Caenorhabditis elegans: one gene and its partner. The protein of the gene in region 1 purifies or fractionates together with the protein of each later gene. This does not show direct contact. Each region holds a gene or a part of one and is shown in the gene's direction. Other genes may lie near its edges. The genes, in order: D1053.3 and tag-321.

Region 1 (6,880 bases):
AAAAATCCCAATTCTTTTAATTTGGCCACTTACCAAAAATTCTATTCAGACTCTTCAAAAATCTCAAATGTATTATGATAAAACCAACAAATTTATACAGTTTAAAAGTTGCTCATTTCCACCAATGCACTGTTTGTTTTTAATAATTGAAGATAATCAAAGTTTCGAATTTTTTGTTTGGTCAGACATTTTCCTTCCTGTACTTCCTTTTAGTTGTCGGATAACAAAGTTAAAACCCTTCTCCTCACTTTCACTTCACTTGGGTCAACAAACGTTGTGACCTACAGTTTTTTGACTTTCCACAGCGTGCTTTGTGACTTTTGTATTTGATCTACACAGTCATAACACATTGTGCAGACTATTCGAATTTTATTGATATTTTATCAATAGAAACCACAGTAAAAACACACAATTTAAAACATCTGGAAAATATTTGGAAGTATGTAGCCCGTTTTAAATAGTATCTTTTGATGAATCTCATTTTTCCATTCTTGAAAATTCAAAACGTTTCATTTTCCCATCTTTTGGAGCAAAAAAATTCGAAAAATGTCGTTCTGCGGTAGATGTTTTTGTTTACTTATTTATCTTCAGTCCACATTCTCCCACGCGTTTTTTATTTTCCAATGATTTATTTTCAATCGGTTCGGGTTCGCTGATCTTATTCATGAAAAATACATTGCATTCGTTGATCGGATTATGTTTTTCCCCAGCAAAACATATTTTTGTTGCAGTTTGAACGCTAGAAGTAGTAAGCAGAAGAAAGAACCATTGGTTTCTTCAGTTTATATAGCAATTCGAATAAAATGATATCAGAATTCAATTAAAACGTTGAAACAATTTTGAAAAAATAAGAGTTCGGTTTTTTTGTATGAAATTTTAGTTCATTTTAACAACTTATTAATCAAATTACATTCAACTTTGATAAAAACAGATAAAGTCGAAATTCATTGTCTTTTGTCATTCTTTCTTTTGTGTCGAATTTTGTTCTCTTTCGAAAGTTGCCACAAATGTGACACTTTTAGGATTCAAAACCTATACGCTCATTTAACAATTTTTCTCCTTGCTCTTGAATATTAAACTACGATCTGTTCCGTTACTGAGAAAATGTTGGCATAAGAAGCTACACAAAAACATCGTTAGAAATTGAATTCCAGTTAATTTTTTAATTTTCAAAAAAAATTATAAACCCCCAATTGTTTTATTCAGTTGTACTGTATCACATTTAAACTAAACATGAACGTATGTTTAAATATTCAATTTTTCTCCTACGATCTCTTCCAACTTTCATCGTTAGATATTAAATTTGATTTTCAAATTTGCTGATCCATCACCAGAAGTTCTGATTTTTTGCATTTCGAATATAATAGTGATGCAACTAATTTTTTCGGATTGCAATCTGTTAGTGATGATTTCACAAGAATTCCCATTCCATTTACGAGCAATTGCAGAACTTTCGAAACGTCACCAATATTCAATAGTATTCTTATCAATTCTCTATGATTTTTATCACTAAACTGTAATTGTGCTGAGTTCAAAGAACTATTTGTTCATTAAAGGTGTGCAGCTTTTTGAATAAAAAACTTTGTTATGAAAACATCAGAAAATTATGATTATATTTAAACTGTATGGCTAACAACGGTAATCTAAAATATGAACAATGACCAAGAGAAACTAGTTTTTTGTAATCAGAACTTTTGTGTGGCGAATTCACACTCTAACCTAACCCACAGATCATCCCCACAACGTGATTCATTTTTTGCAACCGATCAAATATCTATCCCGATTTTTAAAGTTGATATCATTTTTAAAATGTACAATCCTAACATAAGGAGCTAAATGAAACCCTAAACTCGTGCAAAAATGAGAAAAAAACGAGACTACGCGAAAAATGGGCGGGGCTAGATCTCTGTTCCTCTCTCTTTTTGATGCGTCTTCCTGGCGACCCTCTCGGCAAAGAGAGGAATTTTTTGTCATCGTGGTTGCCCTCGGAGATTCACAAAGTCCATCGAAATTTTCATTCACTCTTGTTTCTAAGTTCTGTTTTTAAAATTTTCGCTTTAAGGAGAGCTTTCTCAGAAAAAAAGTCCAACTATTTCAGACCGATATGACTAATCAGAAAGAAGAAACAAGAAACGAACGGAAGGCTGTGATTCTTGGATCAGGACACAAAGCTTTATTTGTAAGTTGGAATATTTTATCAATACTTATTTTTCACACTAAAGTTATGACAACTTGAACATGCATCAAATTTTTTACTGATATTACGTTTGCGTTGTTTTTGTTTAATTTGGAACATCGTAGTTCAAAAAGTCTTAAACGTGAGTAAGTCAGAATCGACTATTTCAATTGTTAACAAAGTTTTTGAATTTAAAATTGTTAAGAGAAAATAATGTTTTTTTGTCTGAAACTGTCAAACTGTTCATTGATCGTGTGTGGTCACAAAGTTCAATTGATGCAAATCACTACTTCCCCCATACACAGTTTTCCGAGTTTTTTTGTATTTTTCAGTAGTTTGAATATTGTATTTTCAGTTCAAACAACTCTGTGATGCAGCATCCAATTATGAAAAACATGTCCATTATCCAGATGTTCACTACCTTACCATCGATCACATGGGAACAGAGCATGTGGTGGAAATCACCGATCCAGGATTGGTTAGTGATCTTTTCCTGTTGTTTTCTGTTATTCAGCTACCGTTTTCTTTTATTGTCGGAAGAAAATTGGGTTTTCACAACACGTGTTTATTTGATGGGTCGGAGCAGTCAGCCGGTTGTCTCATGGTATACAAAAAAATTGGAAAAGTAGGGCGCGAGGGTAATGTGAGAAACACTTGTGCCACCGCAAAGACAAGGAACATTTACCGGTTAACGGCTCTGCTAATGAATGATCAGTAGCGAAATTCACACAAGAGTACAGTCAAGTGGGAACAAGACAAAAAAGTTGGTTTTGTTGGAATTTGGGTTAGATCAAAGAAGTCGTTAGAACTACACCAAAGTGATCAGGATTAGTCAGAAACTTAAAAAAAAAGATGATCATAAAAAAAGGCTCCATATCATAATTTATTAATATTCAAATCCTCAAATACAAAAAAGCAAAGCATAAAGTTTTTATAAACCGGAAATTTAGATAAATTTTAAGATCACAGTTAGTATTCTTGCAATTCTCTAATTTAACCAGTTTTTCAGTTGTGAGTGAACTCCAAATTGTGCTTAAACCTGAGTAAAACTGTAACAACATACTCTAAGTAGGTAATTTTTAATCCCATAATTTGCAAATGGTTTGAATCACTTTCAAACTTGTTTTTCTAGTTATGTTTTGCTGTTTGAAATTTTAAAAGCTGATCTGGATCCCATCAAAAATTTAAACAAATGTAATAGATTTTTAGTATAGAGTTTGCTCCCTTTAGATCTTTTGATCTTAATAAGTTTTTGTCTGGGCACGACGAATAATACAAACTTGTGATTATATTAATTAAACTACAACTTTCACATTTTCATAGTTTTGTTCCAATATCAAAGTTGCACTTTTGATTCCACAAATTGTTTCAGGCTCGCACAGGAAATCGGGAAATGGCTCTGACAGCAGCTGATTATGCGATTCTATACTATTCTGCACTAAACATTGATTCTCTTCAAGCTCTTCAGTCACTTGTCCAACCTCTCCAAAATCGAAAAAACGTGAGACAATTTATTTTTTGATTGACAATCCAGGGGCTTCAGCCTATCGAATGGCAGCGGAAATGAAACGGATTAGGTGTATGATTTCTCCCCCAGTTATTTTCTCATAGAAGCACAACGTGCGCATGATTTTGCTGTTGCTAGACAAAAAATAGATTTCCGTTTCCCAGGGTAGTACGAAAATCGAATTGGTTAAACGAAATGCTCTGCAAGACCGATGGTGACAGCTGTGAAAAAAATGCGTAGTGCCACAAGAATAGTAACAGAGAGAGCTGTAAAAAACCTCTGTGCCACTCTTGTTATTTGCCTACCAAGACGCCGAAAGTTTGCGAGTTTGAACGGGTTGCTCTTTGTGCAAATAGATACAGCCGATGCTTGAGAAAAATGATTTTTCTCTTTCATCTCCTATTATATTTTTGTGTCCAACAGCTGATGTCGGACTATTGGTAGTCTGGAACTTTGAAGAATGTGACTTGGAAAAAAGGAAATGTAAACATGAGATGTTGAAACACTTTATTCGGAGTATTCTGTAGATGTAAGATGATATTTACCTAGAATCGGGAAACATGAAACTATTGGAAATTGGTAACCCAATATGGAAATGGGTAATATCAGCAAAAAATGAGACAAAAAACCAAACAGTCCATAAATGAAACAAAACATATTTCAGCTTCACATTCTTCTTGTATGTGATTCAGACGAAGTGATACCAGAAGAAACTGCATCAGCACATACAAGTTCCACGTCGGAAGGTAAAAATGAGTCACGGAGGAAAGATGTTCCACATCATTTCACACAATTTCAGGGTATGAGTCAGATGACCGAGATGGTATGAAAAGACACTATTCAATGGAACAAATTCGTAAGGGATTGGATGATAACATATCTACTTCAGTTGCAGATCAGGTGAGTAGGGCATTTTTAACGTAAGGCTGTCAAACTGAGAATAAAACAAGCAGTACTACATGTATATCCTTCTGTTAAAAACGTGACGCCTAATTGCTGATTAATTATTATAATAGCCACACATATTCTGCATGAATATGTATTGTGTGTAATAGTAATCTTATTTTTGAAAAACTTCCGAGTTGCAGTTAAAACACACCGATAGAAAATGCGAGTATATTTTTAAATATTTTATTTTGAGTTAGTTGAAGATACGTAATAGTCACACATGGAACAAAATATATATTTAATTGTTTTGTTGGCACTTGCCACAATAAAGTGATTATAGTCTCTGGAGCTATGATAGAGAAAAGCATACAGTATTTTTAAAAATATGAATTTAATGAACAAAAAAAATTCCAACTGAAAATTGAAATTTATAGGGTGGGTCATATTTATGTGGACTCGTATCGCGGTTATTCACCGCTCGTGATTACTCTAAACTTGAAGCACCGCAAAAAATATATGCTTTTAAAGTTTGATATCAAATTTTTTCCTATAATAGAAACTTGTGAAAAATCCAATCAAATTTTATAGTCGCGAGCAGTCTTATGTTAAAATGTCCAATGCCCTAGGACAAGATAAATGCACTTATTGTTTATTATAACTGCTGATATTCAATTTCAGGGCGAACAACTGGCGCAGGAACTTGGAAGTCGGTGTTCATTTATGCAAATAAGTTCCAGTAGCTCTTCAGATGCAAAGAAAGTATTAACACAAATGATTATGTCCATCAACAAATCTGGTCCCACGCGAAATCGGAGAATGTCTAAAATTGCAAGGCAAGTATTTTAAATAACTCTCAAACTTATCCGAGAAATTTTTGCAAACATTTTTTAAAGCTGCTCAAAGTTTTTGCCAGGAAGTCAAAATTTAGTTTTCTAAACAAGAAAATATTGTAAGAAACTTTCAATATATGCCAAAATATTCTCAAAAATAGGCAGAAAGTTTGCCTTTATATTCATAAATAATACTAATATCAATATTAACGGAGCTACTTGATGTTTTGTTCTAACTTAATTGATATTAAAGGCCCCTGGAATTTCTTAATTTTTACTGAACAAGTTTACAATTAAGAACAAACAAGTACTTGAAGATGGTCACGAAAACTTAACAAAAAATATTGTTCACTTCTGCGAACAAGCTGGTAAACACCAAAATTCATTTTTTTTTGCAGCATTCTACGATCGAAATCATCCGACAAATCGGGAGAGAATATGATATTCGAGGCAGTGAATGAGAAAAAGAAAAATGGTAAAAAAGAAAAAGGAGAGAAAGTTGAAGATTCAAAAGTGTGCATCATAATGTAATGTGAGGAAATATGGAATGTCGTTTGATCTCAAATGGGAATAGATAATGCATTGTTTCGTATTATGGAAAAATTACTGAAACACAACTGTACTTAAATTTTAATGTTTCTTTTCTTGGTGAACTTTTCAGTTCTAGTCAGCTCCCCGAACCTCCCGGTAATTTTGAAATGTATGTTTCCAGTGAACTTGTGATATTGATGATAATTGGATTTTATAACAGTAGTTTGTGTATTTGTGTTTTATTAATTTTTGAGATTGGAATAAATAATTTGTAAATAAACATTTTCTCCACTATTACATTTTTGGATGAAATCTTAACTAAAAGAGGGATTCAAAAACAATTTGAAAATAGCATTTCGATGCTTGAAATGTGTAAAATTTTGCGCGGTAGTTCACTGTATTAATATTTTACAAGACTAAAAAAATCCATTAATCACTTTTTGCATATTACTTTACAGTCCAATTAGAAGAAAAGCTCAATACCAACTAATGAATAACCTAATGGAACATACTTTTTTCAAGAGTTTGTTGTATACTGTGAAGTTACAGCGTAGACATTGTTGAAGCAGCCAGACGGATGACATAGGATTGATCACTGAAAAATGACAGATTATCAAAAGACCAGTTTTTAGAACCAGCTTCATCCCAATCCCTAGTCGACTGATCTTTACCTCTCTTGCGTTTCGACTGATTCAGGTCAGAAATAGAAATGTCGTTGATGGGAACTTTTTTGAGAATACTCAATGGACAAATCGATGACGGATTTTAGGATCACAACGACGAGGGATTCAGAGACTTGCGAGGACAGCAGAGAACGGACAGACTAACATGGAAGGACATTTTGAAACGTTTTATAAATAGGACGGTTGATTTAAAAACAACAATTTATTGGACCAACTTGAGTGATAGTACAGATTGCAAGAAGTTGGTTTTTTAAATCATAAACGT
Region 2 (3,895 bases), on another chromosome or scaffold:
TAATTAAACATTTTTTTAATAATATCAGCAAAATCCGCTGTCAAATATTTCATAAGATGTCACCACTTCGTCAGTTTTCAGTGACTGGTGCCAGCCTTCCATTCGATTATTTAGTGTAAACTTATTTGTTGTTTACTCCATTGAACACATTTTCTCTAATACCCCTCTTGAGCCAAATCCCGACAATTTTTCAGGAATGTCAGATGGAATAACTCTCGATTTTGCCAATCAAATTATCCAATATTGTGCAGAAATTCGAGAATTGTACGAAATTGAAGAATACGTCCGACAGCCGAATGACCATAATTTACTAGAGTTTCTTTATGATCTCAGTACTTTTTTGCTTGAATTAGGTAAGGAATGAAGATAATACAATTAATTTATTTCGTTTTCAGAATGTCCTCATGAAGAACTGACATGCGGTGATATTAGAACACGTTTCCAATCTTCATCAGCAAAGAAGCTTCTTGAAAGTTTTCTTGATTCAGAAGTCAAAACTGCTCGTCTCATTACTAGACAAAGAATTGAATCGGGTGAAATTGTAAGTTTTCTTTTGAAATATTGCATTTAAGTTGCCAAAACACAACTGGAAATATCTCGGATTTATCATTAATCACATTTTCTCAAATTTTTGCTTTATATTTTCTATTTAACTTTGTTTTTTCTTGCTTTTTAGTCTCAAGTCCCTCCACTTCGACCTAAATAATTCATTAAGGTCTCCGAAAAACGTGATCTCGAACTGACTCCACTTATTGATTCTGCCCTTCGAACACTCAACTTCCCTAAACAAGCAGGAAATTCTAATGAATGGAAACTCTTGGAAACTTTGAGACAAAAGGTATTAATAATTCATTGAAGAAACCCTCTCAAATTCTATTTTCAGACAGATGGACGCGTTTCCCAAAGTCAAAGACATCCACTTTTCAAAGCGACTCTTGATGAAAATACACTTCCTGAAATTGAAAAACAGTGTGAATCGTTTTCTCGTGATTTTTACAATCGACTTCTACTTCTGAACAGTCGACTCAAGGTCACAGTTGAATCATTTTTATGGAATGATCGCCTCAAGATGCACAGAGAGAATATTCAATCAATTCTTTCTGCTCGTGTCGATGAAATTGGACGAGTTAAAGCGAACAGTGACGTAGCTCATCTTCTTTCTGCAAGTTCTTCATTGCTCTATATTCAAAAAGCGTCATCTATGGATAGAAGGTATTTTTATAAAAATGTATGGTAAAAACTATGAAATTGTATTTTCAGAGAACGAACAAAAAGCAAACAACATCCACTTTCAATTATGGATGCTCCAAAAGATCGTGGAGGACGCACAGAAGAAATGGTTGGAGTGAAACAAGAATCTTTCAGACAACAACAACATACTTTTGGTAAGTTTACTCATTGTTAATTGCGGAAAATTTCTTGAAATAACTATTTTCAGATAGGCAACATTCCCAAAATCGACAAAAAAGTACTTTCGACCGTCCAAAAACTCACGAGGAGCAGGTTTGTTGTGTTCAATCTTTTTCTAGCCATTGTGGCGTCATTAAAACATTGCTCTTATCAACTGTCATTTCTAGGTTCTCGAACAACACACTTCACGAGACAATAGTGGACAAAATTGGAGAGGAAGAGGTCGTGGAAGAGGCAGAGGACGAGGAGGCGGACGCGGATATCATTGAAATTTGATGTTTTGTCGTTTCTTATTCTTTTCAATTCATTCGGTGTTTTTTTCAAAATGGGCTCACAGTTCCTTTTTGTTTTAATTTATGAAAACTGTTTATAAATTGAATGTTTTTCTTTTTTTTGAAAATGGTTGTTTTCCAGTCAAATCCCTCTCACTCGTTATTAATTATGTATTATTCGTTAAATTTATTGGTCTTCTCATAAGTTAAATTACAGACCACGGCTTGCCGAAAGGCAAAAAAATGATCAGCTCGCCAGCTCGTCTGGCTTTTGCCATGATCGGCAGAGCGAGCTCTCGAACGCTTCTAACAAACCATTCTGTCACAAGTATCCGTCTATCGACTACAGCAGCTTTCAAACATCTTGATAAACTGATAATTGAAACTCCAAATGATGCTATGGAAATTGCAAGTCGTCTGACTATCATTGAACAACAGATGTTGAAATCGGCGTTAGACGATTGTTTGACAAAGAAAGAAGATGGGAAAGTAGAAGAACTTACTCAAGAGCAAGTAAAAGGAATATTTCTAGTCAATTCTATTCCTTTTATTGGATTCGGTGTTCTTGACAACATGATTATGATCCTAGCTGGCGAGTATATTGATCAAAAACTCGGGGCCGTTCTAGCTATATCAACTATGGCAGCCGCTGCACTCGGAAATCTTATCTCGGATATTGCTGGCGTTGGTCTCGCGCATTATGTAGAGGTTGCAGTGCAACGAGTTGGAATTAAACATCCTGTTTTGACATCTCAACAATTGGACAGTGGAAAGGTGAAAAAGGATCTATTGATTGTTTTTCAAAAAATGATAAAAAGTGTTAAAAATTTTATTCACACTGAACTTCTGCCCGAATAAATTCAGTCTGCAGCTGCTGCATGCAGCAGGGGTACAAATTGTGCCAATGTGGCATGTTTTCTCAATTTTTTTCAATAAAATTTAGTGATAGAATTTAGAAAAATATTTGTTTTATCTGATAATGAAGTTGAAAATTGCCGATAAATTTTTGAACGTTTTTTTACCAGAAATGTTCAACTACTGAACGAAAATGAGAAAAATAATCGTCTTTTTTCACACTCTAGAATTTTTAACTCTTTAAATTTAAAAAAATGATTTCAGGCCAGGTTCACAACGAATGCTGCAAGAGCAGCTGGTTTAACAGTCGGATGCTTACTCGGAATGTTTCCATTACTTTTCTTCAGCGACGACGAAGACGATGAAAAAAAGAAGAAAAAAGAATTGAAAGCAACTAAGCTTGAATAGAATTAGAATTTCTCATTGTAAATATTTAACTTTTGTTCAAAATACCTAAATGTTTCTGTATATTGCATAATCTTGTCCCTCTGCCAATACTAGTCAATCATTTCTATTTCCCTGTATGCCATTTGCATTTAAAAATTCCCTGTTATTTGCTCAAACTTCAATGTGCTTTACTCTATTTTATTCTTTAGTATAAAACTATCAGAACTGATAAGGTTTGAATAGATTATTTAATTGGTTCTTTATAGCCGTCGTGTATATTTTATATTCAAAAGTGGTTTTTCATGCTTTAGGAACAAATAATTACAGATGAGTGGTGGACAATATGTGACATATGTACAGGATCTAGAACAGGAACCGTTCGACGCAATTGATCTTGTTGAAAAACTGGCATGGAGAATGACCGGAAGTGCTCAGACTATAAACGATCCGGTTTCTTTGAAAATGCGATTCGAGGAAGAAATTGGCAGTTTACAGATGCTTTGTGATCAGTTTCAGGTTATTTTTCAATTTTCTGTTCGCATTAAAAAAAAGTGGAAATTTTTAGAACAAAATCAATACTCTTGAAAAGCAAATGAACGAGGAAAAGAAGGATTATGTACAAAAACTTCACCGTCTTCACGAGAAAAATGGAGAAGCAATTGATAAAATGAAACAATTAGATCATACAATGCAAGCAGTCTCTACAAAAGTTGTTCATCTTGGTGATCAACTTGAATCCGTCGATCAACCACGTTCACGAGCTCATGATGCTCATCAATTGATGCAACATTTCGATGAATTCCTCTCAGATCAACCTCTCAATTCCATGATTTTCACTGATCCTGATAAGCTTCTCGAATCTGCCGATCTGGTGCATAAGCTTTATTCAATTTCTCAGGAACTCAATAAGGACAAATTTGCAAATGTTCAAGCTAGAATTGGACAAAGATATAAAGTTGTCGAAGACTTGC

The links.
Region 2: the proteins of D1053.3 (region 1) and tag-321 fractionate together in Caenorhabditis elegans (co-fractionation; one large-scale study listed by BioGRID). This does not show direct contact.

Annotation. Positions count from the first base shown.
Region 1 is NC_003284.9:11,728,915-11,735,794, reverse strand, and holds D1053.3 (Ras family protein), read left to right. Parts: upstream 1-2,092; 5' UTR 2,093-2,104; coding exon 2,105-2,179; intron 2,180-2,531; coding exon 2,532-2,654; intron 2,655-3,548; coding exon 3,549-3,677; intron 3,678-4,347; coding exon 4,348-4,429; intron 4,430-4,482; coding exon 4,483-4,583; intron 4,584-5,249; coding exon 5,250-5,404; intron 5,405-5,799; coding exon 5,800-5,932; 3' UTR 5,933-6,209; downstream 6,210-6,880.
Region 2 is NC_003282.8:7,781,856-7,785,750, reverse strand, and holds tag-321 (Transmembrane protein 65), read left to right. Parts: upstream 1-1,899; 5' UTR 1,900-1,925; coding exon 1,926-2,456; intron 2,457-2,467; exon of another isoform or gene 2,468-2,488; intron 2,489-2,801; coding exon 2,802-2,945; 3' UTR 2,946-3,152; downstream 3,153-3,895. Other genes in the region: tag-322 (uncharacterized protein), read left to right, coding at 197-353, 396-541, 716-838, 884-1,212, 1,261-1,385, 1,439-1,503, 1,578-1,679; sec-10 (Exocyst complex component 5), read left to right, coding at 3,252-3,440, 3,490-3,895.